Bombyx mori: one gene and its partners. The protein of the gene in region 3 binds, or shares a complex with, the protein of the main gene of each other region. Links are inferred from orthologs where the notes say so. Each region holds a gene or a part of one and is shown on either strand. Other genes may lie near its edges.

Evidence for each region.
Region 1: exportin-1 (region 3) and exportin-5 share a complex: the UniProt entries of both Homo sapiens proteins name them as parts of the nuclear export receptor complex. The link is inferred for Bombyx mori from reciprocal best matches to the Homo sapiens genes XPO1 and XPO5.
Region 2: the proteins of exportin-1 (region 3) and ran GTPase-activating protein 1 are in contact, whole or in part, in a cryo-EM structure (PDB 9B62), measured with the Homo sapiens proteins. The link is inferred for Bombyx mori from reciprocal best matches to the Homo sapiens genes XPO1 and RANGAP1. Residues at the interface, in NP_003391.1 of Homo sapiens: Lys245, Ser248, Thr249, Tyr252, Lys253, Glu281, Gln282, Val284, Thr285, Leu289, Met292, Gln293, Gln296, Arg340, Asn342, Leu343, Lys514, Val518, Ile521, Lys522, Leu525, Glu529, Arg532, Lys534, Lys537, Ala538, Ala541, Met545, Phe554, His558; in NP_001265580.1 of Homo sapiens: Ala2, Asp5, Ile6, Leu9, Ala10, Thr12, Leu13, Ala14, Thr16, Gln17, Val18, Ala19, Gln22, Leu23, Ser24, Phe25, Lys28, Glu44, Arg55, Ala561, Thr564, Lys565, Pro566, Ser568, Glu571, Ser572, Ser574, Phe575, Arg577, His578.

Annotation. Positions count from the first base shown.
Region 1 is NC_085119.1:13,766,573-13,770,196, forward strand, and holds part of exportin-5, read right to left. Parts: intron 2,654-3,624; coding exon 2,523-2,653; intron 1,751-2,522; coding exon 1,609-1,750; intron 389-1,608; coding exon 205-388; intron 1-204. UniProt on the Homo sapiens protein: Mediates the nuclear export of proteins bearing a double-stranded RNA binding domain (dsRBD) and double-stranded RNAs (cargos). XPO5 in the nucleus binds cooperatively to the RNA and to the GTPase Ran in its active GTP-bound form.
Region 2 is NC_085117.1:346,739-351,133, forward strand, and holds the start of ran GTPase-activating protein 1, read right to left. Parts: upstream 2,878-4,395; 5' UTR 2,866-2,877; coding exon 2,625-2,865; intron 2,308-2,624; coding exon 2,120-2,307; intron 1,805-2,119; coding exon 1,670-1,804; intron 1,039-1,669; coding exon 886-1,038; intron 273-885; coding exon 103-272; intron 1-102. UniProt on the Homo sapiens protein: GTPase activator for RAN. Converts cytoplasmic GTP-bound RAN to GDP-bound RAN, which is essential for RAN-mediated nuclear import and export. Mediates dissociation of cargo from nuclear export complexes containing XPO1, RAN and RANBP2 after nuclear export.
Region 3 is NC_085118.1:10,175,543-10,179,830, reverse strand, and holds the start of exportin-1, read right to left. Parts: upstream 2,808-4,288; 5' UTR 2,648-2,807; intron 2,321-2,647; 5' UTR 2,225-2,320; coding exon 1-2,224. UniProt on the Homo sapiens protein: Mediates the nuclear export of cellular proteins (cargos) bearing a leucine-rich nuclear export signal (NES) and of RNAs.

The DNA of each region.
Region 1 (3,624 bases), on a different chromosome or scaffold from region 3:
AAGATAAAATTATGTATTAATTTTGTTAATAGTAGGTAGTCAAAATATAGGTAAACTAAAAAAAAAAAAACTAAAACTATAAGTACGCTCTTTTGACAGTACTCATGAGAAAAATAATGGTGATACCAAATGATTCCGCATATTAACTCAATTTCGAATATTTTTGGAAATTGTACACTTTTAATGCGAAATGACGATATGTACCTGCTAGCTGGCTGTAGGCGCAGCTGAGGAACACGAAGAGCGCGGAGATGAGTGACAATAACAGTGACAGCAAGAGCGGGTCGGAGGGCTGTGTGAGCACGCAGCGCTGCAGCAGCGCCAGGCCGGCCGCGGCGCTGGGCCGGGGCTCCGTCTCCACCAGCCGCGACAGCACCACGTCCAGCGCCTTCGTACACACAACGGACATTTTCTTAATTTAAAATGTCGACGCTTGAAAGGCAAACGTGACTAAGCGATAATAACTGCTTTATACATAAATGATAGGCAATAACCAAAAAATATATTTTTAAGTCTATTAAAATCATTTCAATCCTACAGCTAGATTAAATTTTTTTCAGGTATTTCAACTTTAAATTAGTCTACTGTAAAGTTCACGCATTATCGCTTAGTCACGTTTGCCTTTCAAGCGTCGATATATTTTTTAATCTTTTAACATAACCCATTGATACAACTGGACAGAAAATGTGTAGCTACTTAATTAAAAAATAAATAAGAAAATTTTCAATAAATTATAAACTATTATTAAAATTTTGTTAGTCAATAGTTTTATCAAAAATAAAAAGTTTAGAAACCATCCAATATATCTCATTAATTGAAATCGGTGTACAAAGGTTTGTTGGTGGAGATTGAGATCTTCGAGCAGCGCAAATCCTTATTCAGAATTCTTGAACGTTGACGTCATAATACTAATAATAAATTTAGATGTAGTCTTCATTGCTGGGAAAAGGCTACGCTATCTACCGGTTTTGATTTAAATTGGTTGTCAAATAAAGACAAATATTACTAGGATTATTGTAAAATTGATTAAGAGAAGAAAAAAAATTGGTGCGAGTGCAACTTGGCGCACGTCACAGAAGTGAAATTTCTTTTGCATTGTGTGTTATTGTGGTTTTCTTCCTTTCATGAATTACTTTTTTTTTTTATTCAAATTTCTCTTGTAGTATTGAATGATGCGTTTAAGAGAAACGACCTAGCTCGCTTTAACCTTTCTTTCTCTCCGTACAGGCAGACGAGCAAAGGCCCACCTGATGGTGAGTGGTTACCGTCGCTCATGGACGTCAGATATGCCAGGGGCAGAGCCAAGCCGCTGCTTTCCGTAAAAGTACCGTATTTTTTATATTTTTTTTATTGCTCTGATGGATGGAAGAGCTCACAGCCCACCTGGTGTTAAGTGGTTACTGGAGCCCATAGACATCTTTTTTTAATTTTTTTTTATTGCCCTTGTATCTATGACGTAAATGCGCCACCCACCTTGAGATGTAAGTTCTAAGGTCTCAAGTATAGTTACAACGGCTGCCCCACCCTTCAAACCGAAACGCATTACTGCTTCACAGTAGAAATAGGCATAAAAAATATAAAATAGAAATGGGCCGTATAAAGAGATACCTGCGTGAGCGCCTCCCACTCGACGTAGAGCGGGTGCTGCGTGTGGAGCGCGCGCGGACACGACTCCAGCTTGTCCAGCGCCGACTGCGTCCACTGCTCCACGTACGACCACGTCACTAGTGGGGCCGCCATCATACAAAACCTGTACAATTTAAAATTCTACTTAATATCTATTACTACTACTACTACTACTAAGAATCATTAATTAAAGGTTTTTTATATGAAAAAAATAAATTATTATGTAACATTCTCCCTGGGTTAACTGTAATATGTAAACGTTACTTATTATTCTGGATATGTATATCAAATCGCAGAGTATGATAGAATTTACAAATCTGTATTTAAGTTCTTCATTTTTCCTACTTAAACTGGTAGTCTTGAGAGACGATGCCAGCGTAACCTAACGAGTAGGTGAGCTCACGGGGCTCTAACCTAGGGATGTTGCTAACACTAGCCCTAACAAGAGCAGTGTTTCGCAGAATCTACAACCGGATCGGAAACGCGACCCATTGAGAAGATCTGGCGAGAAACTTAGTGGGCTGTGTCTATGGGTTAGTTTAAGTTCAGTTCAGTGTTTGGTAATCTGCGAAACTAGCAATCTACTTCAAGTTACTACGGACAGCCTAATTTAAATCTTAAGCGCTGGTGTTAAGGAATATGTATCTGTTATGAGGCTACACACTGTCTTCACAACCCAAACATACGTTCGGGTCTGAAGGGCGAGGTATGACGTGACACTTCGACCTAGTTCTCCATGGAAGACTTCAGCAATTCCATACTGCAATGTCTATGTGCTGCGGTAAGTACCTATTATCTTGCAGCCACTAATATTCAATGTAGGTTGGAGATGGATATTAATGTCGAGAAAGTAATAAATAGTATCATCGTCTAGGAGTATCACTGTTTTGACTCACCTAAAACTATCTAATATTTCAGTTCGCAATTTATTAAAAAAAGTATTAAATTCTTGTTCGCTATCGTAGTCTATGCACGCGTACGCGACTGCGTCGTTTGTACCGTTCGGTCGGGACGTCGGGTAGTGGACCTGAAATAATATTTAAATACATAAATAGACAGTCAACTCAAGAAGTCGTCGTGGCCTAACGGATAAAGACGTCCGCTGCATTCGTGTTGAAGCGATGCACCGGTGTTCGAATCCCACAGGCGGGTACCAATTTTTCTAATTAAATACGTACGCAACAAATGTTCACGATTGACTTACACGGTGAAGGAATAACATCGTGTAATAAAAATCAAACCCGCAAAATTATAATTTGCGTAATTACTGGTGGTAGGACCTCTTGTGAGTCCGCGCGGGTGGGTGCCACCAGCCTGCCTTGTAGGAGCACGTGGAAGGAAAGAGAAGTCGAGGAAGATCGCCAACCAGGCGAACGGACATTGTCAAGGAGGCCACAAACACCAGCGTCCCAGGCGCCATTAAGCACGCCGAATGCAGGCAACATTGAAAGAAGCTGATGCAAAAACTAGACCAACGTGGTCACGACCTTCAGTAAAGAGAAAGCGACGAAGAAGACAGTCAAAAATCATTATGTACTCAGGTTAAGTTTGAAGAGCAGGGTCAACTTAGATCTTCAGGTTTCGATATCATATCTCAACGCCGCAGCAATTACGCAATAGCATCTATGGGGACGCGTAACCAGGCCGAACCGTGCCAAAAATTTTAACAAATTCATTTCTAAGGTTTGCCTACCTGAAGATGTTTTTTTTTATTTTTTATTGCATAGATGGATGGACGAGCTCACAGCTCTCCTGGCGTTAAGTGGTTACAAGAGCCCATAGACATTTACAACGTAAATGCTACCACCCACCTTGAGATATGAGTTCTAAGGTCTCAGTATAGTTACAACGGCTGCCACGTCCTTTAAACCGAAACGCATTACTGCTTCACGGCAGAAATAGGTAGAGTGGTGGTACCTATTCATGCGGAATCAGAAGACGTCCTACCACCAGTAATTACGCAAATAATAATTTTGCGGGTTTGTTTTTTAATACGAT
Region 2 (4,395 bases), on a different chromosome or scaffold from region 3:
TTAAAGACCTGAGCGGAGCCGGAGCGGGCCGCTAGTTCGCTAAATAAAATAATAAGACAATAATGACATAGAAGTTGATAATTCACTCAGTGCTTACTTTACCTTGGCAGGGCACCGGCAATGGCTTCAGCACCTTTAGCCCCGATAGTATTGTCATTTAAATTAAGATGGTTCAGTGCCGGGTTGTGTTTGAATGCTTCCGATAGAGCCGTTATACCGACATGGTATATACCGTTCTGTGGCATAGCTATCTCTTCTAAGGAACCCATTTCCTGTGAACAAGTGTACAATATTTTATTTATATTGCATAAACAAATGAACACCTGAGAGATGCCCAGATCTAATCAGGTATATTTTTATCACCTTTGTAAGGAAATTATCAACCGCTTTAGCAAATCAGCTGCTTTTTGTTATGTATTTGTCTGGTACTGACCCATTGAAAAGAAAACTAATCTATCTATTTATATAAAAATGAATTGCTATTTGTTAGTCTCGCTAAAACTCGAGAACGGCTGGACCGATTTGGCTAATTTTGGTCTTGAATTATTTGTGCAAGTCCAGAGAAGGTTTAAAAGGTAGATAAATATGAAAATGCTCGGAATGAAATAAAAATTACAATTTTGTTTTTACTTTGATGTGTCACTCGTCGGATAGATTTCTTTTGTTTGTTTTAAGTTTATTTTATAGAAAAGTTTAGGTATTTTATTTATCGATTGAGGCACTACGAAGTCTGCCGGGTCAGCTAGTAAGTTATAATATTTTTCATTTCAATCAATGTTTCTATGGCTGACGTTTTTTTTCTCAGGTTCATATTCTTTATTCAGTAATGGAAATACTTTAGACTTGGAGCCTGGGGTCGAGATAGCTTGATAGAAATGAACACACCTGAAAAACTTTGGCCAGCGCGGTGGCACCGTCATTCTCCAAACGATTCCTCCCGGCTATGAAGACCCGTAGTCTCCGCTTCCTACTGGAGAGTGCGCGTGCCAACAACTTACCACCGGTTATGCCAAGGCCGTTGTTGTTCAGACGAAGCTCCTGGAAACGTATTTTGTAAGCTTTATAAAGTGATTTTAATAAATACATCTGATCAGTGCTAGAAATTATAGCAGTGGGAATGAAACAAAAAAAGGGAATTTTATTATAAAGATTTTTGAGAACAATTTGATGATAAGACAAAAAATTGATTTACGTAGAGAAAGATGCAATTTTTTTATCATATTACATAGATATACATGTCTTGAGTATGGCATCAGTCAGTCTACACAAACAATAACCACTTAATGCCAGGCATGCCGAATATGTACATCCACCTATCCAGTGATAAAGATTTGATTCTTTGTGTCCCTACATAATCGCCAGAAGCCTTAAATGCGTAATAAAGTTTCACTGTGATCGGGCAAGCTAATGGAGCTCAGCTTGAGAGACTTTGCTAACATTTGCTCTAACAAGAGCATTGCTTTGTTGACTCTATCAGCAGCTCAGGATTTTAATCCACTAAGATCCGGCAAGAAACTCAATGGGTTATATGTCTGGCATTAATTGTAGATTCATTCTTCTTCTTCCCAATGAAGTTTTAATTTGGTCGGCCCATGGCATTGGTGACCTCCCACACGGTCCTGTACCATATGACTGTAAATTCATTATCAAGAGCTATTAAACAAATTACCTCTAGGTCAGAGCAGACATCACTTTGCAGCAGCTTAGCAAGACCTTCAACTCCTATTGGGCCGAATGCATTATCACTCAGGTCCAGCACAGCTAAACGAGCTCCAGCTGCTATCATGCCATCACCTAAAGCACTCTGTAAATGAAATAATCTTAATAATAAGTGATACCCCCTAGATATTGTCACCAGCCTAAATGTGGTAAATGAATACCTATCTTCAGGATTCGCTCTATACAAATGTCCTTTAGACTACAAAAACTTTAATTTGAAATTAAATTTCTTGACATTTAATAAATTCAATTGTTTCTAGTCAGCTGCTCGGCTGTGCATGTGACATTACTCATATTCATTATCAAAGATAGCCCTTATCATTAGCTAAGCTGTATAAGCGTCTGACTACAAAAGCAATAAAAAGTCCTCTTCATTTTAGATTTTGGGAAAAAGCCTTACCAAAGCTGGCGGGATCTCAGTTTTCATTCTCCCAGTAAACATGTCCGAGAATCTGGCTATCTTGAGTTCAGGGTGTGATTCTAAGGCCTTGGAGATCGCATGGGCGGCCGTCACACCCAGTGTATTGCCGGTCAACGCAAGATATTGGAGGTTCGGGCATTTATTGATCGCGTCTACAATTTGTTGTGCTGAAACAATTTAAGCTTGATGTAGGTAACACATTCATTCATTCAGTATCAAATTTGGTACTATGGCTATGATTTCAAGTCCAAATCTGATTAATATAGAAAATATACTTTATTTCCAAGCAAATTGAACAAACACGAGATCGCGTCAAATTTTGTTTTGTTTATTTTTATTTCACTTTTTTAGGTTATGTTGTAGACGATTTTTTTACATGCGCGTCTAGTGAATTTCAAATAAACAACTAGTATGTTTTATGTAATATTTGATTAGCTATGCGTGTTAAGAATTACACGGCCTTCGCTCTAGTTAATAGACCCACCATCTTTCGCGGTATCCAATTTTAGAGATTTTCCAGAAAAATCGACACCGGTTTCCGGCTGTGCGGGCTCATCAAGCACTGTGTTTAATGAATTTAAATCGAAAGTGGCCATTTTACAGTTTATGTAATAAATATAATAAATAGAAAATAAATATAACGCAAAAACGCAATTATGTACTCCAACGGATTTTTTTTCAATTATTTTGATATTGTCTGTGGTTTCCGAACATGTCAATTTCATTTGACAAAGACATAGACATTGACATTTTAATGAAACAGTGATGAGCTCGATGAACTAACCATCACTTCGTTCATTCGAATAATTCGACTTATTCGATTGATCGCTTGGTTGTTTGATTTGATCGAATATTTAATATAAATATAATTTTTATTAAATTATGTAGGTATTTAAACTTTTGCAACTAAGTTGACAGGCCTAAGCCTGTTAAGTATGAAAGGAAATCAGACCGCTATTTATATTTTACAGAATTAATATTACTTAACTCATCTTGTCGGCAATTTTCATTATTAATTCATTAAAATATAAAGAGTTAAATATATAAAAGGATGATAATTATCTTTATATCCAAAATATATATATATCTCTTTTCTTCTTGGTATAGTAACCGGCAAACATCGTGAGCAAATGACCTTGACTGCGCAGAACCGAATTTTAGATCACTTTGGTGGTGAGGGTGAGGCGCGACGGCAGGGGAAATCGTATCGAGCGCGTTATTGGTAGATCAGTCGAACCTTGCGTCCCGCACCGCGCCTTCGTTCCGCTTGCTCCCAAAAGTACGCTTGCGTACAGTGAAAAGTATATCGTTATTAATCGTTAAGTTATATTTTGTTATAATTGCTTGTTGACTTTGTTGCCATTGCTATTTGTTGAGTGTTTGTTGATTTTTTATAAAAAATACACTATGCCGCGACAAACTGGTGTAGTATTCAAAAGAAAGGGTAGAAAAATTGTGTACGACGTATATTGCTTCATTATAAAACAGGGGAAGAATGATATTATGGAAAAAGTAAAACAGACTTCGGAAGCAACAAAAACATCAGTGAGTACTGTTAGGTGCATTATTAACGAAGCTAAAGGCTCTGGCTTGCTCATCGTGCTTGGGACTCCGGGTAAGAAAAGATCAGGGAAGAAGAAAGTTACCGGAATGGATAGTTTCGTTCAATCTGTAATAAAAAGATGTAATCATAATAACTACATAACAAGCAGCGAAACTCCGTACCGTAGAAAGGCTTCGAAAATTTTAAAGAAGATATACATTTTAATGGCTCGGTATGAAGTTTACGACGAATTATGAAAGAGCTAGGCTTCAGATGGAAAAAAAAAACAGAAAATAATCGGAAGCTGGTAACTGAAAAAAGTAACATTCGATTACTACGAATCGAATATCTTCAAAAAATAATTAATTATAGACAAAAAAGAAGATCGAACCGACCGAGTCGTAAACTACACCGATGAGCCCTATGTCGACTTATCACGATGATGGCGACTCGGGTGATGAAAACAGTGATGATGATAATGGTCAAGATTATGATAACGAAAAAAAAATTACAAATACCAGCTTCGCTTCAACTGAACGAAGACCTGGCAACAGCTCTAGTTTTGACTTAATAGAAGGAATATCTATTTTACCCCAAGATTAAATTATTACAATTATTAACCTATATTTTTTGTTAATGTTCTAATAAATATATAAATAAATACATATGTTGATTTTAATAATTTAATTGCATTATGACGCAGAGTAAATAA
Region 3 (4,288 bases):
CCTTTTTTATTATTCTCATATTCTTAATGAGAGGTTGTTTAGTAACTGCTACGCCATTTAAAGCTATGGCTTGACTTATATTTTCAGACATTACTTTGTAAACATTAAGCATGTCAAGGTATATCCTTCCTAATTGCACAACATATGGGTGTGCTAGTGCACGACATGCACGCACATTTGTTTTCAGTATACTTACAAGTTGTTTAACAGCTTCAGGGTCTTTCAAGATTTCAACATTACGAGAAGCTTGAGATATAATATCATCCCAAACTTGATTAGGCAGAAGCATGTATTTTTCAATTAAAAGTTCTTGGGCTACTTGATCTACTTGGGCACTGATCATGTATCCAACAGCTTCATAAAAAGTGTGAACTTGCAATGTTTGTAAATCACAAATTATAGTACTAATGGTGCCCAATATTTCTTCAATAAAAGGACAGGCTTCTCCAACTTGAGTAGTGACAAAATGTCGACGGCATTTTATAGCAATTTTTATGAATGTATCACACGCCATGTCTTGGACACCATCATGTGTTTCATGCATGAATTCAAAAAGTTTATTGACAACGGTTTTTAAAAATTTCCAATGTGCACGAAGAAAGCGTGGGTATTGTCCTACGACATACATTATGTTACTAGCAATTATAGCTTTGTTATCTTTTCCCTTTTTCTGTTCACAGAGACCTAGAAGCTCTTTAATCACAATAACCAAAAATCTCTTTTCATCATCCTCAGATAGAGCTCCAGAAATAGATCCAATTGCCCAACATAATGTGTTCAAGTTCTTCCATGACCACTCAGTACCATTTACTTGATTTTGTAATTTCTCTGTCATAATACGTTCAGTATCTAAATAGTCTAAATGTGTCAAGTAAACTAATGTTTCTCTCATATTTTTATACAAATTAATGGAGTCTGTGTCCTTCATAAATTCTCTCACAACTTCACCATTTTCATTTTCAACAACTAACACCTCTTCTGGTTTTGCCATTCTCGAGATCATAATATACCGAACACTGCTCAAGACATCAGCATACAAAGCTTTTCGGCCTCCACTTTTACCCAAATGGTACAAGTTTGACGAACATGGCGCAATTTTGTACAAATCAGCAGCAAGAGCATTCCAATATTCAAGACAAATTTTGAAAATTTCTACATCTTCTACCTCTGATATTAAGACAAGATACCTCAAACCATTCATTAAAGTGTTTGTTAATCCACTCTTTTCTATGAGCGGACCATGCTCTTTTAGATATGTGCATAAGAAAAGTGCAAGATTTTGAATAAAAACTTGTTCCTGATCTCGACCAGCTACATATGCTTCACGTATGTTTGTAGTTAGAGGAAGCATAACTTCAAGTTGTTCCATAGTTTGTACAAACAAATAAACAAACTGCTGATCATAATTGCTGACTGTGACACCGGCAATTTCAGTAAGACAGCTCAATGTTACATTCCTAAACATCGGCACGTTCAGAAACTTAAATATCAATGTGCTTATCAATTTCATTTCGAAAATATAACCAAGTGGAATCCAATTTAAAAATCTCAAAAGAGTGTCTAAGGTCACTCCAACTAAAGGTGCATTTTGTGAATTTTCCAAGACAAATTGGCATAGCTGAAAGATTTGACTGAATTCTGAACACATTGTATCTTTTAGATGCTTAGCTTTTGTTTGTGTGAGCTGGCCTGTACTAAACATAAATACTTCTTCACTCAACAACTTGAATATTTCCATATTGTTTTGACAGAGACTTTCATTCGTCTTTGAGGCACCCACAATGTCACTGATAAAAGTTTCCCAATTATGGGGCCATTCTCTTTTCAGAACTTGAATAAGGATCATGTTTAGTTTTTTCAAATAAACTTTGTTGCTTTCCATCGTAACAGGATCTGATGAATTTTTAATGATAAGGCCAACTATATATTTTTTTATACCCTCACACTGATTTCTTGGTAATATTTTCCATCTCGTTAGTATTACTTGTTCTAATATTTGTAATGCATAATATTTAGTTTCTTGATTTTGAGAATATTCAAGTATTGTATCAACACGAGTCCAAGCATCAGGATGTTCCTTCAAAGCAGTCAGTATATCCTGAGCAACACGTTGTTGATCCCCAACAGCAGAATATAAACAGCCAACAATGTTGTCCAATAAATTGATGTCCAATTTTTGATTGAAATCCAAAAGTTTAGATGCCTGTTGTTCTAAGGTTGCCATTCTGGTAAAATATATTTATTTAGTTAATTTGTTCCCTTTTTTCCAAAATCAAAATTATTTTGATTAATCCACATTCATTCCTCACCTTATACAACACTGAAAATGAAACAAAACTCTGTGTTAACAGACTCTACTGACTCTAACCTCCATATCCTAATTGTTTGTTTGTTTAACAAACACCGACTTAACAATTATGCTAGTAAAAACTACTTTTAATACTATAATTCGGTTAAGCATTTAACTACAAACTGGGCAATTACATCATTAATTGTTTAAAACCACTAAATAGAGCACACACCCCGCAATCTTGTTGCAGATTTTACTACAAGTACATTCATTACACTAATCACAAAACGTGTACTAAGTGTAGGGATACTCGTTAGAATTGTAATTTTTCAATAACTTAAAAAGTGAATCACTTACCCGAGAAAATAATTTGCGGCGCAATCAATCTAACGCACTACCATACATACTAATCCGTTGTTTTCATGAAGCTTGAAAAAGCTTACACATTTAGTCTATGGTCATAGAAAATACTAGTGCGGAACTCCTGTTGAACGTTGCATTGCATTGACTACAGTTTACTCAATGTGATTTCTTTTAAAATTTAGTGGAGAAATCTTCTGCAAATTTAAAATTAAAAGCTAATTAATAAGAAAAACTTATTCACTTCATTCTATTGCTAATTTGGGTTCAAAAACAGAAATATGGACTTTTTAAGTTAAGTGAAGTTAAGTTGTAAGTCAAGTTAAGTCAGTGTAGCTTCCCATCTCATTTGTTCAAGTCCGTTAAGTTTCAGCAAATTTACACCAACCAACACCAACTACAATTACATTTAACCACAAGTTATTGAGATATTACTTCTTTTTATCTCACTTGCTAGGCTGTATGCTAATATTTTTTATATAATTTTTATGTTGCCATTGTAAGTTGTGAAAAATAAACTATTTTTTTTAGTTTTTGGTATCTATGGTATTTTTTATCTATGGTATTTTGTGATTAAAGGCTTATTACACTTGGCTGAATTTAGTCGACTGACTTCAGAAGCAAATTTAGAAGCTTCTGATTAAACTGTTTTAAATTCAGTTACTGAATCAATTGTCAGTTTAAGCGCGACGAAGTAAGACGTGTCGTGTGCGTAAGAGGATGGCCCCAGTATTGTCTAGACAACAACAAATTTTTTGTTTTTATTTTTTATTTCAATTTCTCAAAAAAAAAACAAGAATATCGGTAAAGAAATATTTATTGCTGTGCGGAATGTTAGCAAATATGAACATTAGAGTGATTTAGAACCAGCAGACTTCAGAAATTATCTATAAATGGATTCGATCTCGTTTGACCTAATATTAAAACTTGTGACACCGTTTATTCAAAAGCAGGATATTATCCTACGATAGTCTATTATATATCTATTTTATAACTATTACATATCTAATCCTACGATATTATAAGTCCAAAAGAAAGATTGGTTGTAACATGAAGATTTCTTGCAACAGGAAATACGTATCAAGATTTAAAATTTAGTTTTTCAATATCCCAACCCTTTATGACAAAAACTATTCCTGAAACATGTCGGGCTATTTATAAATGTCTGGCACATTAAATAAAGGCGACCGAAATCAATACTTTTTATTCGGAAGCAAAAAACAAACTAAAACGTTCTTACGCACGGAGAGCTATGGGACGACTGAAACCATTAAGTAACTAAATGCGATTACACCTTCCTAGATGCATTTCTAATTAGGCTTCTAAATGATTTAGTCAGTCAGAAACCATCCTTGCTACTGAATTCAGTAGCGACTGAATTATTTTTGTAATTTTTAAGTACCCAACCTTTACATGACCGTTCGAAAGATTAATTTATAATAAAACTCATAGAAGATAGTAAATACCATCACTCAACTTGCTAGGGCCAGTGTTGGCAACACTACCGGTTTGAGCCTCGTGAGCTAAACTACAAGGAGAAGCTGAAATAGCCTCTCAAGGATATCAGCATAGGTAGAAAACAAAAACACGCAAGCTAATTTGAAAATCAAACTGTTATATTACATATGATCCTGTTTA